Rattus norvegicus: one gene and its partner. The protein of the gene in region 2 interacts with the protein of the main gene of each other region in a biochemical or structural test. Links are inferred from orthologs where the notes say so. Each region holds a gene or a part of one and is shown on either strand. Other genes may lie near its edges.

What was found.
Region 1: the proteins of Apbb1 (region 2) and Evl form a complex in vitro, tested with the Homo sapiens proteins (2 studies listed by BioGRID). The link is inferred for Rattus norvegicus from reciprocal best matches to the Homo sapiens genes APBB1 and EVL.

What each region holds. Positions count from the first base shown.
Region 1 is NC_086024.1:133,236,002-133,242,789, reverse strand, and holds the start of Evl (ena/VASP-like protein), read right to left. Parts: upstream 4,244-6,788; 5' UTR 3,756-4,243; coding exon 3,751-3,755; intron 1-3,750. UniProt on the Homo sapiens protein: Ena/VASP proteins are actin-associated proteins involved in a range of processes dependent on cytoskeleton remodeling and cell polarity such as axon guidance and lamellipodial and filopodial dynamics in migrating cells.
Region 2 is NC_086019.1:169,314,192-169,320,421, forward strand, and holds part of Apbb1 (amyloid beta precursor protein binding family B member 1), read right to left. Parts: exon of another isoform or gene 5,653-6,230; intron 5,364-5,652; exon of another isoform or gene 5,325-5,363; coding exon of another isoform or gene 5,204-5,324; exon of another isoform or gene 5,082-5,203; coding exon of another isoform or gene 5,030-5,081; intron 4,087-5,029; coding exon 3,911-4,086; intron 3,817-3,910; coding exon 3,760-3,816; intron 3,675-3,759; coding exon 3,589-3,674; intron 3,481-3,588; coding exon 3,417-3,480; intron 3,036-3,416; coding exon 2,886-3,035; intron 2,520-2,885; coding exon 2,392-2,519; intron 2,294-2,391; coding exon 2,288-2,293; intron 1,997-2,287; coding exon 1,882-1,996; intron 1,736-1,881; coding exon 1,651-1,735; intron 1,398-1,650; coding exon 1,314-1,397; intron 1-1,313. UniProt on the Homo sapiens protein: Transcription coregulator that can have both coactivator and corepressor functions. Adapter protein that forms a transcriptionally active complex with the gamma-secretase-derived amyloid precursor protein (APP) intracellular domain.

The DNA.
Region 1 (6,788 bases), on a different chromosome or scaffold from region 2:
CCAGCCCACTGTGGGTGGGGCCACCTCTGGACAGGTGGCTCTGGCTGTATTGGAAAGCAGCTGAGCAGCCACTGGATGTAAGCCAGAGCAGTGGTGGTCTTGGCTTCAGTTGCAGACAGGTTCCTGTTGGCTCCCCTGACAATGGACTTTAACCTGTAAGCCAAGTAAGCTCCAGGCTGCTTTTGGTCAGCATGGTTTATCACAGCAACAGAAAAGCAAACTAGTCTGCTCCCTAAAAGCAGGGGTGATTCTGAGAAGAATATTAAGACTTAGCCTGGGGTGGTGGGGAATGCAGGTGTTGGTGAGGAGAAATCATGAGGGTGGAAGGATGAACAGAACAGGCTGGTCCTGCTATGGAATGAAACTCAGCTCGGAAACATTTCATTCGGTCCCTGAAACTGGACCAAGGAGACCCCACAGTGGAGCAAATGTGAATTACCTCTAGGGGACAAGACCATCATCTTCGGCCTCAAATTATGTTAAAAAACAATTTGTGGCCAGGACATATTTTAGAAGGAGGAGGAAGAAAGAGAAGGAGGAGGAGACAGGCACATAACGAGCAACAATATGCATGAGATCAGCAGAAAAGGCCCTGGAAATGACTGAGTATGGACACTGTGTAGCAAACACAGGCAGCGATCACTGTGCATGGGGAGAGATAAAAGACAAGGCTGAGAAGCTGAGCAGATAATTGGAAACTTAAAAAGACAGCAGACTGTGGTTTGAACGACACAGTGACTGAGCTAAAACCACAGTGCATAGTTTCAATGGCGGTCTCTATAAAGCAGAAGAGAGACAGGTGAAGAGACATCCAAAACGAATGGCGAGGTAAAAAAAAAAGGGGGGGGGTAAAGGAGGAAAGTGAAATAGATATCTATAAAATGGTCCACATGAATGACTTCAGTCCTAGAGCAAATGTAAGAGAAAATGGGTAAAGGCAGTCCTAGCAGCTGGTGCGGGAAAAGCTAAGGAAACAGATGAGTCCATAGATTCAAGAAGCCATACAATCAGCACTCAGGAGGCAGAGACAGGCAGAGCTCTGAGTGTGAGGCCAGCCTGGTCTACAGAGAGAGTTCCAAGACAGCCAACTCTACAGGGAGAACCCATCCCGGACTAGAAAAGAATGAGAAGGGAGAGAGGGAGAAGAGAAAGAAGAGGAGGAGGAGGAAAAGGAAGAAGAGGAAGGGGAGGAGGAAGAGAAGGAGGAGGAGGGGGAGGGGGAAGAGGGGGAAGAAGAGGAGGAAAAGGAAGAGGAGAAGTAGGAAGAGGAAGAGAAAGAGGAGGAGGAGGACGAGGAGGAGGAAGAAAAAGGCATAGGAACCTAACTATAAAGATAAAAACACATAACAGACTGATATTGAGCAAACTTTTCATCCCAGCTCTTAGGAGGCTGAGCAAGGCCAAGGAGTAGAAACCAGCCTGGGTTACAGTGTGACCTCGTATCTCAAAAAAAAAAAAAAAAAAAAAAAAAAAGCCAAAAACCTAGAAGCAGACAAAGCAAGCCCCACTCTCCTGACATCTGAAGCACGTTACATAACATAGCAAGTGACTCCTCACCAGAAACAGTCAAGTCAGACTACAAGACAGCGTGAAAAGCTGGAGCCAGGGGAGTGCTGAGTTCCGAAACTAACCAATGAAAGGAGTGTTTAAAGTGGAGGAAAAGGTTCTAATGGTAATGGTTGCAGAGCTCTGTGGACAGTCTAAAAACCATGAACTGCATGCTTCCCTGGATGCTTTGTGCTATGAGTTATATCTCAATAAAATTGCTTATAAACCAGAGGAAGGTGAAGGATAAACATTTTCAAACAAAGTCTAACAATCTGCTCCAGCAGAACCTACACTAAAAAATACTAAAGGGACCAGGCCGGCAGTGTACACTCAGAATCCCAGCAGATAGGAGATGGTTAAGTTCCAAGTCAGCCTGAGACCCTGCTCAAAAACAACAAAAACAAAGACACAGGAGATGGTTTCAAGGATAAACTGCTTCCCATGCAAGCTTGAAGGTCTATCCATATAACCCATATCAAAGTAGGTGGGTGTGGCAGCCTCCCTACAATTCTGTTAGAAGGAGACAGGACCACAGATGGTTAGTGGCCAGCTGTGGGTTCAACTGAGAGACCCTGCCTCAATGAAGAAATTGGAGAATAACTCCTAATGCTAACCCCAGGCCTGGGTGTGCCCCCGCCCCTACGGAATGTATATGCACACATGCACTCATATACATAAAAGATACAAAAAGCAGACAAGCAAAAGCTTCGGATAGCAATCATTGGATGCGTGCAAGACCCTTGCCTTGGTCTGATACACCCAACATTGCGATAGGCAGAAAGACAGACACTAAAAGACGTTCTTCAGACAGATATGACCCCAAAAGGAAGTCTGAAAGATGACAAAGGTGGCATTGCAGCTGAGGGAAACAGTGAGCTTGGTAAACGATGAGGAATAAATCATGATAGGTAAATGTGAAAACAGTTCCTTTTACACATTACACAAAAACCAGTTCCAGGTGGACCATATTATTTTATATAAAAAGCAAAATATTAAAATTTCTGCAAAATGTTAGCAAGCTATCTTCTTCACTTACGAATAGTAACTCTACCAATTAGGAAGAAGACAACCCCTCACGCTAAAACTGGACAATATTTAAACAGACACTTAATTTTTAAAAAATGCCAAACATACACAGATGGACAATCAGCCTCTTCAGTCAACCAGAAACTGCAAATTAAAACCCTGATGGAATGTCACTTCACACTCACCAGAATGGCTAAAATTTCATCAGACAATACCAAGGGGTGTCAGGGATTTTAAACAAGGGTTATTAAATGTTTGCTGGTATAAACTGGTAACATGACTTTGGGAATTTTAGTTCTATCCACTACAACAAAAGATGTACATGATTTTATGTTTAAAAAAAAAAACCAACAAAACCAACAACAACCTGCTTGTGGGTAGGTAGAATATATATTCATTAGAAATGAATGCTTTTGGCATATTCGCCGAACGGTTAATAGCCCAAAACAACCCAAAAGTCTACTAACATTAGCAGAATGGATAAAGTGTGGACTGTCTACACTACGCAGGACAGTAGATAATAGAAACCTGATGGATGAACTTCAGAAATACCTTGGATGAAAGAAGGCAGACACAAAAATTACATAATGCATTATTGAATTTATACAGTTCACAAAACAGGTGAAACGAATCTACAATTGGACACTACAGTGTTTTTAAGAAAGATGTATCTAGAAGATAACATTGCACAGAAAGAGAAAAAAAAAAAACCGGCATACGCTGCCATGCGCCCCGCCCCGCCCCCCACCCCACCCCAGAAAGCAGGCTAAGGTTAGTCTGGAAAGGAAACCTGGGTGCAGCAGCGATGAAGAGAGCACGGGAGTTTCTGGGTGTTGACAAGGTTCCGGCTGAGGGGCACATCAAAAGCCGTACCTTTTGGGGGTTACACAATGTGCGGGTTTGCAAGAGAAAGGGGACAGGTCAGAAAGAAAGGTGATGATGAGAGCGCCCTGATGGAGATGAGCTACAGAAGCCGAAGTGAACAGGACCGCCGCTGAGGCGCTCACAGCCGGCAGACAGCACAAGGCGGGCGCGGCCTCCCGCGGACCCCGGGGCCTGACTGTCTTCTGGTGCTTGGGCCGCCGGCTGAGGGTTCCGGTGCCCCCTCGATGCTCGGACACCCCGCCCTCCACGCCCGGCGCTCCAGGCCTCGCCGCGCTCGAGGCCCCTACTCACCTCATCGTGGCTGCCGGGCGGGCACGGGGCCGGGGATGAAGGCGCGGCGCGACGGGGCGCTAGCGGGGCAGCCGGCCCCGGGCGCGGCGGCTCCGCGTCTGGCTGGGCTGCAGGCGGCGGCGGGGGCTCATCTTCTCCGGCGGGCGTCCGGGCCGCTAGCTGCGAGGCAGCGCGGCCGCGGCGGCGGCGGCGACTGACAGCTGGGCCCCGGCCCCTGCCATCTTGGCGGGCGCGCGTGCCCGGGCCGGCGCGTGCGCGTGCCGCCCGCCAGCCGACGGGCCGGGGGAGGGGGCGAGCGGCGGGGTCTCGAGGGCGGGAGCGAGAGCGCGCGTCCGCCTTGAAACTCGGGGCGGCGGCGGGAGGATGGGGTGCGGGGTGCACGCGGGGCGGAGGGACCCTCCGCCCGCAGAGGGGACTGCGCGCGCCGACGGCCCTCGGTCCGCGGCCGCGGAGGGAATGGGTGCGCGCCGCAGAGAAGCTCCACACAAAAGGCGCGGGGCTCGGCGGTCCGCGCCTCTAAGAGGGCGGAGCGTGAGGGGGCGGGACAGGGGTGTGGCCCAGGTCCAGAGGGGTGGGGCGAACCTTTGTGGAAAGGGTGGATGGGCCATGGAGTCTGGGGGCAAGACAGGGGGCGTGGCCTAAGGTCCCAAAGGAGAATTTGGGAGAAACTGTAGTTTGGAGGAACAGGTTAACTTAGTGAATTCCAGGATTTTTGTTTGCAAGGGAAAGATTCCGGGCGACCTTTGCGGGAAAGCTTCGGGATCTTAGGTCTAGGAAAGGCCTGGAAGAAGGAGTTAGTAGGGAGAAACAAAGCCGAGCTCCACCGAAAAGCCTGGAGGGTCGTGGGTTTAGGGCTGGGGATTGGGGCGTAGACCTGGAGCTAGGCGGGCAGAGTGGGCGGAGACCCCACAGAATCCCTGGTGGTGGAGGAGCTGTCGAGGGAAGGGCAGGTGGAGAGGCTTAGGGCAAAGGGTGTGATTTGTGAGTCAAGGCTGAATGGGGGGAGAGTGTTGAGGCACATGGAGCCCTACTTGTACCAGCTTTCCAGTGCATTCAGAACAGAGCATTAAGGGCTGAAAGATGCAATCTTGAACGGATTCCTGGATCTGCAGTACTGTTAGCATTGCCTGAGGTCATAGTCTTCCTAACCGTATTGGTTCCCTTCTTCCTGGGATCTATATTGGTCTCTTGGTTACAGAAGAGCCTTGTCACGTGCTAAGAGTTGTGAAAATAGTGGGGCCTCAGGTCAACTGAAGGCATCCCAGGTGTCCTCAGGAGAGTCCTGGTTGCTGCATACCTTGATTCCAGCAAGGCATTGTGTTCTTCCTGCTTGTGGCCACCAATCGCCAGGTGTTTGCTCCTGGGATCTAACAAATTGCCATTCTGTGACTTGGAGGGCATAATCAATTGGGTTTGTTGTAAAGACACCGTCTTTCCGCCGCGCCCCCACTAGAATCACTGACACTAATGAGGAATCACTTCTCAAAGCCAAGGACTGGTGGCCTCCAGAAAGAAATCTTTTTGAGGTCACATGTTTCAAAAAATGTTAACCTTTTGTAACGTTTTGTATCAGAAGGGTGGAAAACACAAGTTCTTCTACTTCCGAGGAATAAAGCCTTCATTCTGATTTGCAAATAGAGGTTGGCTTCAGAAGTCTGAGTTCGGGAAAGGGGAAGGACAGGTGGGAATAGGGAGAAATGTGAGCAAGTCCCTTTCAGTCTGTTTCCTACTGACCTTGGGGCTTCAATTGAGCCCCAGCAGCCTGTAAGGTGAGCTTTAGGATTCCCACCTAATGGATGGGGAACTCAGGGAGGTTTGAGCATGTTTGGCATTAAATGTGGGGCCTCTGCTTCTGCAGACATTGTAAGGCTGGTTTAGAAAAAGATCTGCATCCTCCACAGGGAAGCAGGATACAGCAGAGGATGGGAGTGGCCCCGGTGACTTGCCTCAGCCCTTCCTACAGCTCAGGGAGCTCTCTAATGAGAAAAAGATTGCAAAGACCCCTAAGGACCCAAGCTGCTGATTTTATGAATTCACTGAGTGTTGTGGGGACAATGACCTTACCTTTCTCAGAATGCCTATCTGTGGAAGTACTTGCAGTAGTTGGCAAGGGAGACTGACAAAGGGTGCTGTGTTCAGTTCTGGCAAGAAATAAAAGTTACCTTTGATCCATTTTGCTCTCACAACTTGAGGTTAGCCTGGGGTTTCTGTTTTGACTCCTCCATTGAGTTCTTCAGCTCCTCAGGTGGTTCTCCGTAAGATTCTGTTGCACAGCTCGAAGGGAGACAGTTCCTACACCATGGCCTTGCAGCCCTACTTGGGAAGATAACAAGACAGGAAACATTTGACAGGACGTTGGATGGGTGGGTTGGGAGGGAACCTTAGGTTAGAGATGGGTTGCGAGAGAACCTTAGGTTAGCTGTCCTGCAGGCTCTGTGGGCCTTGAGAAGAGGCTGAAGCTCCCTAGCTGTTGCAATCCTGCCTGGAGCTAAGCTGAGGGTTCTCACCATTTAAGAAGATAAAGCCAGCTACATTCCTGGGGCAGACTGGGGGGAAACTCTGGAGGAGCCTTGTCATGGTGTTTCCGTGTGTCTCCCAAAGAATATGTTTGGGAAACTTACTGTCCAATGCAACAACATGGGACCTCAGAGGGAGTCACTGGGCCACAGGGCTCTCTGCCCTCATGAGTAGATTAATGATGATCTCCAAAGGGCTGGAGGCTGCGAATTGAATATTCATGTGTGGCAGATTGGACGCCTTTACCCACTGAGCTATCTAGCCAGCCCAAGTCAAGAAGACACTGAAGGGAAACAATCTGAGTATAAGAAATACTTCTGGGCTGGAGTGATGGCTCAGTGGTTAAGAGCACTGACTGCGGGGCTGGGGATTTAGCTCAGTGGTAGAGCGCTTACCTAGGAAGCGCAAGGCCCTGGGTTCGGTCCCCAGCTCCAAAAAAAAGAACCAAAAAAAAAAAAAAAAAAAAAAAAAAAAAAGCACTGACTGCTCTTCCTAGTAGGTCCTGAGTTCAAATCCCAGCA
Region 2 (6,230 bases):
CACAGTCTCCTATATGACGTGATACTGCCACAAAGCCAACCAAGCATGAACCAAAATAAACGGCTTCTCTTTAGAAGTTGATCACCTCAGGTGTTTTATATAGTAATGGAAGCTGACCAATGAAAATGGTTCCCTGCAGCTCTTAATCTTGAAAACCACATTGCTGTCCTAAGCCTTCTCCTAGTGCTTCCCAGGTACCACAGTGTCCCCTGCCCCGGAGCCTTACACACCATCCATACAGCTGAGACTGGCCTTTCCGTGGTCTGTCTCCCTCCACTAACAGTCACTGCTCGTCATACTTCTCAGTCATGTGACACTTTCAAGCAAGACTGTGCTTTCTTTCCTTCCTCTGTTCACAGGGCTGGGGTGGGGTCAAGGAAACAGGTCTTTCTCTGTAGCCCTAGCTCGCCAGGTACTTGATATATCACTCACTATGCTTGCAGCCAACCTGTTCCAGCTTCCCACGTTCTGGGATTACAGGTGTCACTAGGCCAGGCTTCACAGGAAGCCTTCTCTGGCCTCCTAGACTAAATGAAGGTCTTCTGCTGTATCTTGCTGCTTCCTTTCCACAGAGACCTTAACTTATTATGACATTTATTTGACTGGGTCCTGATTATTCTACTGTAAGTTCCCATAAACTCCATGAAAACCAGGCTGTGGCCATTGTTTCCCAATACAGGGCCTGACACAACAGGTTTCAAAGGTAATTGTTAAAGAAAGAAAGAAAGAAAGAAAGAAAGAAAGAAAGAAAGAAAGAAAGAAAGAAAGAAAGAAAGGAAGGAAGGAAGGAAGAAAGGAAGGAAGAAAGAAAGAGAGAGAGAGAGAGAAAAAAAGAAAGAAAGAAAGGAAGGAAGGAAGGCGGGTGCTGTGAAATTAAATAGTATATTTTAAAAAACTCTATATTTTTATAAAATTAAAGCTATGTTAATTATGCTTACGGCTTCCTTCTCTGGATATGTATGGCTCCTGTACTGAACCCAGCGCCAGGCTAATGCCTGGTATTTCCAGCCATCCAAACACCTGCCTCCTAAACCCAGCAAAGCTCTTCCATGGGATCAGGGCTAGGGGAAGAAAGTCACCCTCCGTGTCTAGCTCAGCACTAGTCCTGTGCTAGATGTTCACTGAAACATGCTCACTGGAGTAACAGGCAGGACACAAGACAAGGCTGGCACAAAGGTAGGTGGGATGAACTCTGAAAGGCAAGGAGATGCCACGTAACGAGAAAATCCAGGAGAATGAACCATAGAAAACACAGGGCGGGGCACAGAGTACCAGGACCAAGGGGGTGGCCCCTGAGGGAAGAGGACACATACCAACGGGTTTAGCCACAGGCACGTTCCCTAGGTAATAGACTTGAAACTTCTGCACCAGTTCATTCTTTGGTGCTGGGAATTCCACTGTGAGAAGAAAAAGAAAAAGAGGGTCACTGTTCTAGGTCCTGACACTAAAGCATGAACTATGCATTTTCCTAGTCCAACCCTCACGCCCACTTCTCCCCTGCCTCCCTCTACAAGCTTATCCACTTATGTACTGTCAAGCACCCATCTCCATGTGCTCATGCCTGCCCAGGATCCTGTGCCTCTTCTTGGGTCACCTCACCTTAACTAACAAAGCTGAGCTGTGCCTTATGAGGCTGCGTGTGGTACTCACCTTGGAAAGGGACATCCACAAGTTTAGAGTGGTCCAGGGAGAGTCCATTTACCAAGCAGCGAGCATTGCGCCGTTCAGACATGATCTGAGGAATGAATGGGGGGTGTGTGTGCTCTGTTAGAGCTACATTGGCCCCGAAGCCCCCACCTCACTACCCACCAACCGGCAACCCTACCCACACCCTTCTAGAGCAAAGATGACAGCTAGTTCAGGGAGTGGAGGGGGCCGTGCCTTGGAGCAGATCTCATGCAGGCTGGTGGCGATGTTCTTGGCAGGTGCCTCACAGCGAAACACGTGGCACTTGAGCATCTGGGTCAGCTTATCTCGAGCTACGTAGGCAAAGTCCCTGTTGGGGGAGGGTCACCTCAGTGTCTCCTAGAACCACCAAATGCCATGCCTGGCCACCATTCCACCCTCAACCTCCCTGTCCATGACAGTCTACAGGGTTTGCCCTGGTGTTCCGTAGGTCTGCCTTCAGGAGCTGGGGAGGCCAGAGGCAAGCATGCTGAGGTGGGGGATAAGGCCCAGGACAGCAGGTGAGGAAGGGGCAGGGCACACAGTAAGGGAGCCTAGGTGCTTCGAAGCATCCGGTCCAGGAGTAGGAAGGGGCACAGTCAAAGCAGATGGACGTTAATACCTCTCTCTGGGTCCGGCAGCACAAGAGAGCCAAAGAGCAGATTAGAAAAAGGACTAACTGCTGGATGGATGAGCCTCCCCCACCCCGGCGATTCCTGTGCCCACCTTCCACTGTCCCGCCCAACGCCCCACACGCGAATGCTGACGATGGGCTGGGCATGCAGCAGTGTCTGGTTCTGTGGCTCCACCAACTTTAGCGTCTCATCCTCCAGCTGGAGCAGCAGATCCTTTCCCTGCAAACCCAGGAGGTGGGACTCAGTGGTACCCTAGTGGGGGAGGGGGGCAGAGTTCTGCCTTCTCCAGCAAAGGGGACATTGGCCACCATTGGGGAGGAGCAGGGCTTACTTAGCTGTCAGACTGCCCACCTGTGGGCCTTAGTCTAACAAAGGTTGTCCCAGGACTCTTATCCCCATCACTGTTAAGCAACCACTCCTCAGGGTGCAAGGCTGGAGTTACACATCCATCCCTCAGAGTTGCTCCTTAAACCCATATATACCCCCATGTCCATCAGCCCTCTCGGAGACTAGTCAAATCCTTCGTATCTCACAATTCGCTGCACACCCCCACGGTACCACCACTTCACCAGCTCAGGCCCTCACCTCTCCCCAGCCTCCAGACATCGGATCATGTAGATTGTTTTTGTGGTAGGAGAGCTGGCGGATACAATTGTTGACTGCCACACTGCTGCGTCCTGGGGCCAGCTCCTCCTCAGTCATCTCTACCCAGCCTAGGGAGCGCACAGCGAAACACTGCCAGACACAGAAAAGGGTCGGGGTAGAGATCTGAGATGGAATTGGAGGTGCCTTGGGCACAGGACAGAGGAGCTCCTGACCTGGCACATAAAACATGTGAGACATTCTGAACTTAGATGGAAGGTCCCCAAACAAGACATGGTCAGAAGAGATGGCCTGCTGATCTAAGCCTTAAGAGTCCCTAAGAGGCCCTTGGGCCAACTGAGTTAAACACAGAAGCTGTCAGAAGACTGTTCAGCATACACACGGCCTTGCCTGAAACTGGTAAGAACTTGCTTGGGAGATTTGCTAAGACCACAGATGTCCTCAAAGCACAGCATGAGGTCTGTCCTCCACATAGAGGCCTGCTTACTAAATGGGTGTTGGTCTTGAACAAACCTTGATCCCTGGATTGGCGTTCCGTTGGGGCAGATTCTCCTCCTCCTGGGGCACTGGCTCTGGGCTGGAGGCAGATGGGAACACTTGACACAGCACCCTTAGTTTTAAGAATCCTCCCAATACCCCTTCCACATAGATCCAGTCTCACCCTAGTCTGCTGCATCTGACTCACCTGAGGCTCTGAGCTGAGAAGGGCAATGTCCCCTCCTCAGGGTCCTTCAGTCCCAACTCCATTGGGGCCTCTTCACTAGGTTCATCCTTTGAAAACAAATTAAAGAATCAAGCCCAAAATGAAGTCCCCCTCTCCAGTAGCCCCCAGAGTGAAGCTGGTTTCTTTATTTACCTTCCAAAACTCTCCTTCCTCAAAGCCTTCTTGGTGAGCAAAGCCAGTCCAGGTGAGCTGGAGGAAGAATGGGTGTAGGGTGGTAGTTTCACCCTGTTCTAGAAGCACAGACCCTTCCACCCCTGGTGTGCAACAAGCCATTGAGCCTTACCTGGGACTCTTCTTGGGGACTGTTCCCCTGCGATGGGGAGGCCCGGCCTGGGGGTTCCCACTGGGTGGTCCCTGTTGGGATGTGCCAGTAGTAGGTCCCTGAGGTGTCTTGGACCCTCATCCATCCAGCCGGTAGATCGGAATCCGTCTCGAAAGCGTTGGGGTTCCAGAAGGAATCTGCCAGGTAGGAGGCTCAGTGAGGGTCAGCCTACCCAATAATCATCCAGTAGAGGGCCAGTCCCCTTCCCAAGACCCCAAGGCTGAGAAGAAGAAGCTGGGAAAGGGACATTATAATTCCTGCTTGCTTCTAGAGCCGGACACTTTAGTCACCACATTGAGAGCCACCAGTGGGGAGCATGGCTCAGGTCTCCTCTGCTGCTAGCCCTGCTGCTGCCTAATGTGGCCACATGGAGAGAAAGAAGAAAGCGGAGAGGAAGGAGGAGGAAAGAAGGAGGCCGAATGACCCAGATCACCTCCTCACACATCATGCATAGACATTTTGTCTAGTTATAAAAGGTGCACACACTGCCGGCTTCTGCACACATCCACATGCACACAGACCCACAATATATGTAAGCCCCACCACACACCTGCACAGCCATAAACTGTGCACAGCGCACAGAAAATTCTGGAAGGCACCACATACAGGTATGCTTGTGAGTTCAGGGGCAAACAGACATAACAACACCAGTTATACACTTGTGTAGAGCTATGTGTTTATATATAGCTATAGATGCCAGCCCTGCTAACAGGTGTGTACATACAGCATTACCAAAACCTCCCAACATACATGTGAGTACCACATGCACATACAGGTGGGGAAACACTCAGATACAATGTATTATCAACCTCTGCTATGTCTGTGCAGATAGCGCGCGTGCGCGCGCGCGCGCACACACACACATACACACACACACACACACACACACACACACACACACACACACTCACTCACTCACTCATATATACCATGCACACACATAGACTCTGTATCTGTGGTATATACCCCTCCTCTCCTAGGGCTACAGCATTCCATCCTTGTTCCGGATTATATGGCCTCCCCTCTGCTCTCTTTGCCAGCCCCATCCCACATCACACCCAGCCCCATGGTGCCCCTCACCTGGACTGTTGTCCTGCAGGATGATGGCCAGGAAGAAGTCCTGGGAGAACATGGCGCTTACTCTCTGCCCCTCCTGCCTCCACCCTCCCTCCTCGCATCCCCTCTAGCCCAGCCAGCTGGGCTCACAGCCTGCTGCTGGGCTGCAGAGAAAAGCTCATCCCGCCCCCTTCTCACCAGGGCAGAGCGTCTGCCAGGCAAGATCCTCCTCCGCCTGGAGTTCTCGAGGGAGGGGCCAAGACCACCATACTGGGGAACCTCCTTGGGGGATGGAGATGGGTGAGGAAGAGGAGCTCATGAGACCCCAGCTCTTCTGCTCTTCTTTCCTTAACCAGGCTCCCCTCCCCAATTCTGAATCTCCACCCCACCCTCCAGTGGTGACATCAAAGCCTCAGTTAAGCCAGTCTTACAAACACCAGGAGGCTCGGCCTCTGGGGAATAGCTCAGCCACCTGGGGCCCAGCAGAATCTATAGGACTCAACATAAACAGGGTGTGGCTTCCAAACCCTCCGGGATCCTCCTCCTAGCTAGACTCTATCCAGCACTTTCAACTAAAGGGTGGTCTTTGAGGGCCGAAGCCCTAGCAAGCTTGAGGATTTGAGGTTTCCCAGCACCACCCCCCTCACCTGCCAGGGCCCAGCTTGGCTGCAGTGTCTCCTCGGCAACCGCAGCACCGGGATGGCTGGGAGTGCCCAGACTGCTGACGTGCTTCCCGTTACCAAGGAAACCAGGAATCCTGACTGGTCCAAGAGGCAGCACTGAGGGACAGGCAGTCTCTAAGATCCAGACTGCTGGGTACTAAGGCACAGAGGGGCTGGAAATAGGTTTGGCTATGCCAAGGTGTTTCCACACCTAACATGAGTTATTCCGACAAGGTGCTTCTCCATCCTCAGCCTGCAAATGAGGTAAGCACACAGACACCCAATGAAAGGGGCTCTTTTTGCCTATCCACCTGCTAGGCAGCCATCACTGTATCTCCACCTTCTACTATCTGTCTACCGAGGTTCAGCAAATGTATGCTTTCCCCCAGATCTCCTCAGGACTATGCTGCTAAAACCTTCCAGGAACACTAACCCCAAGGGCCCTCACCCTCCACAGCCTGCCTGCCTCATGGTCCATCAGGCATTTCTGGAATCTGGGGGCCAGTTCACTGTTTCTCCTGACTGAGTCACTCACACGCACACCGATGCACACCGATCCATCT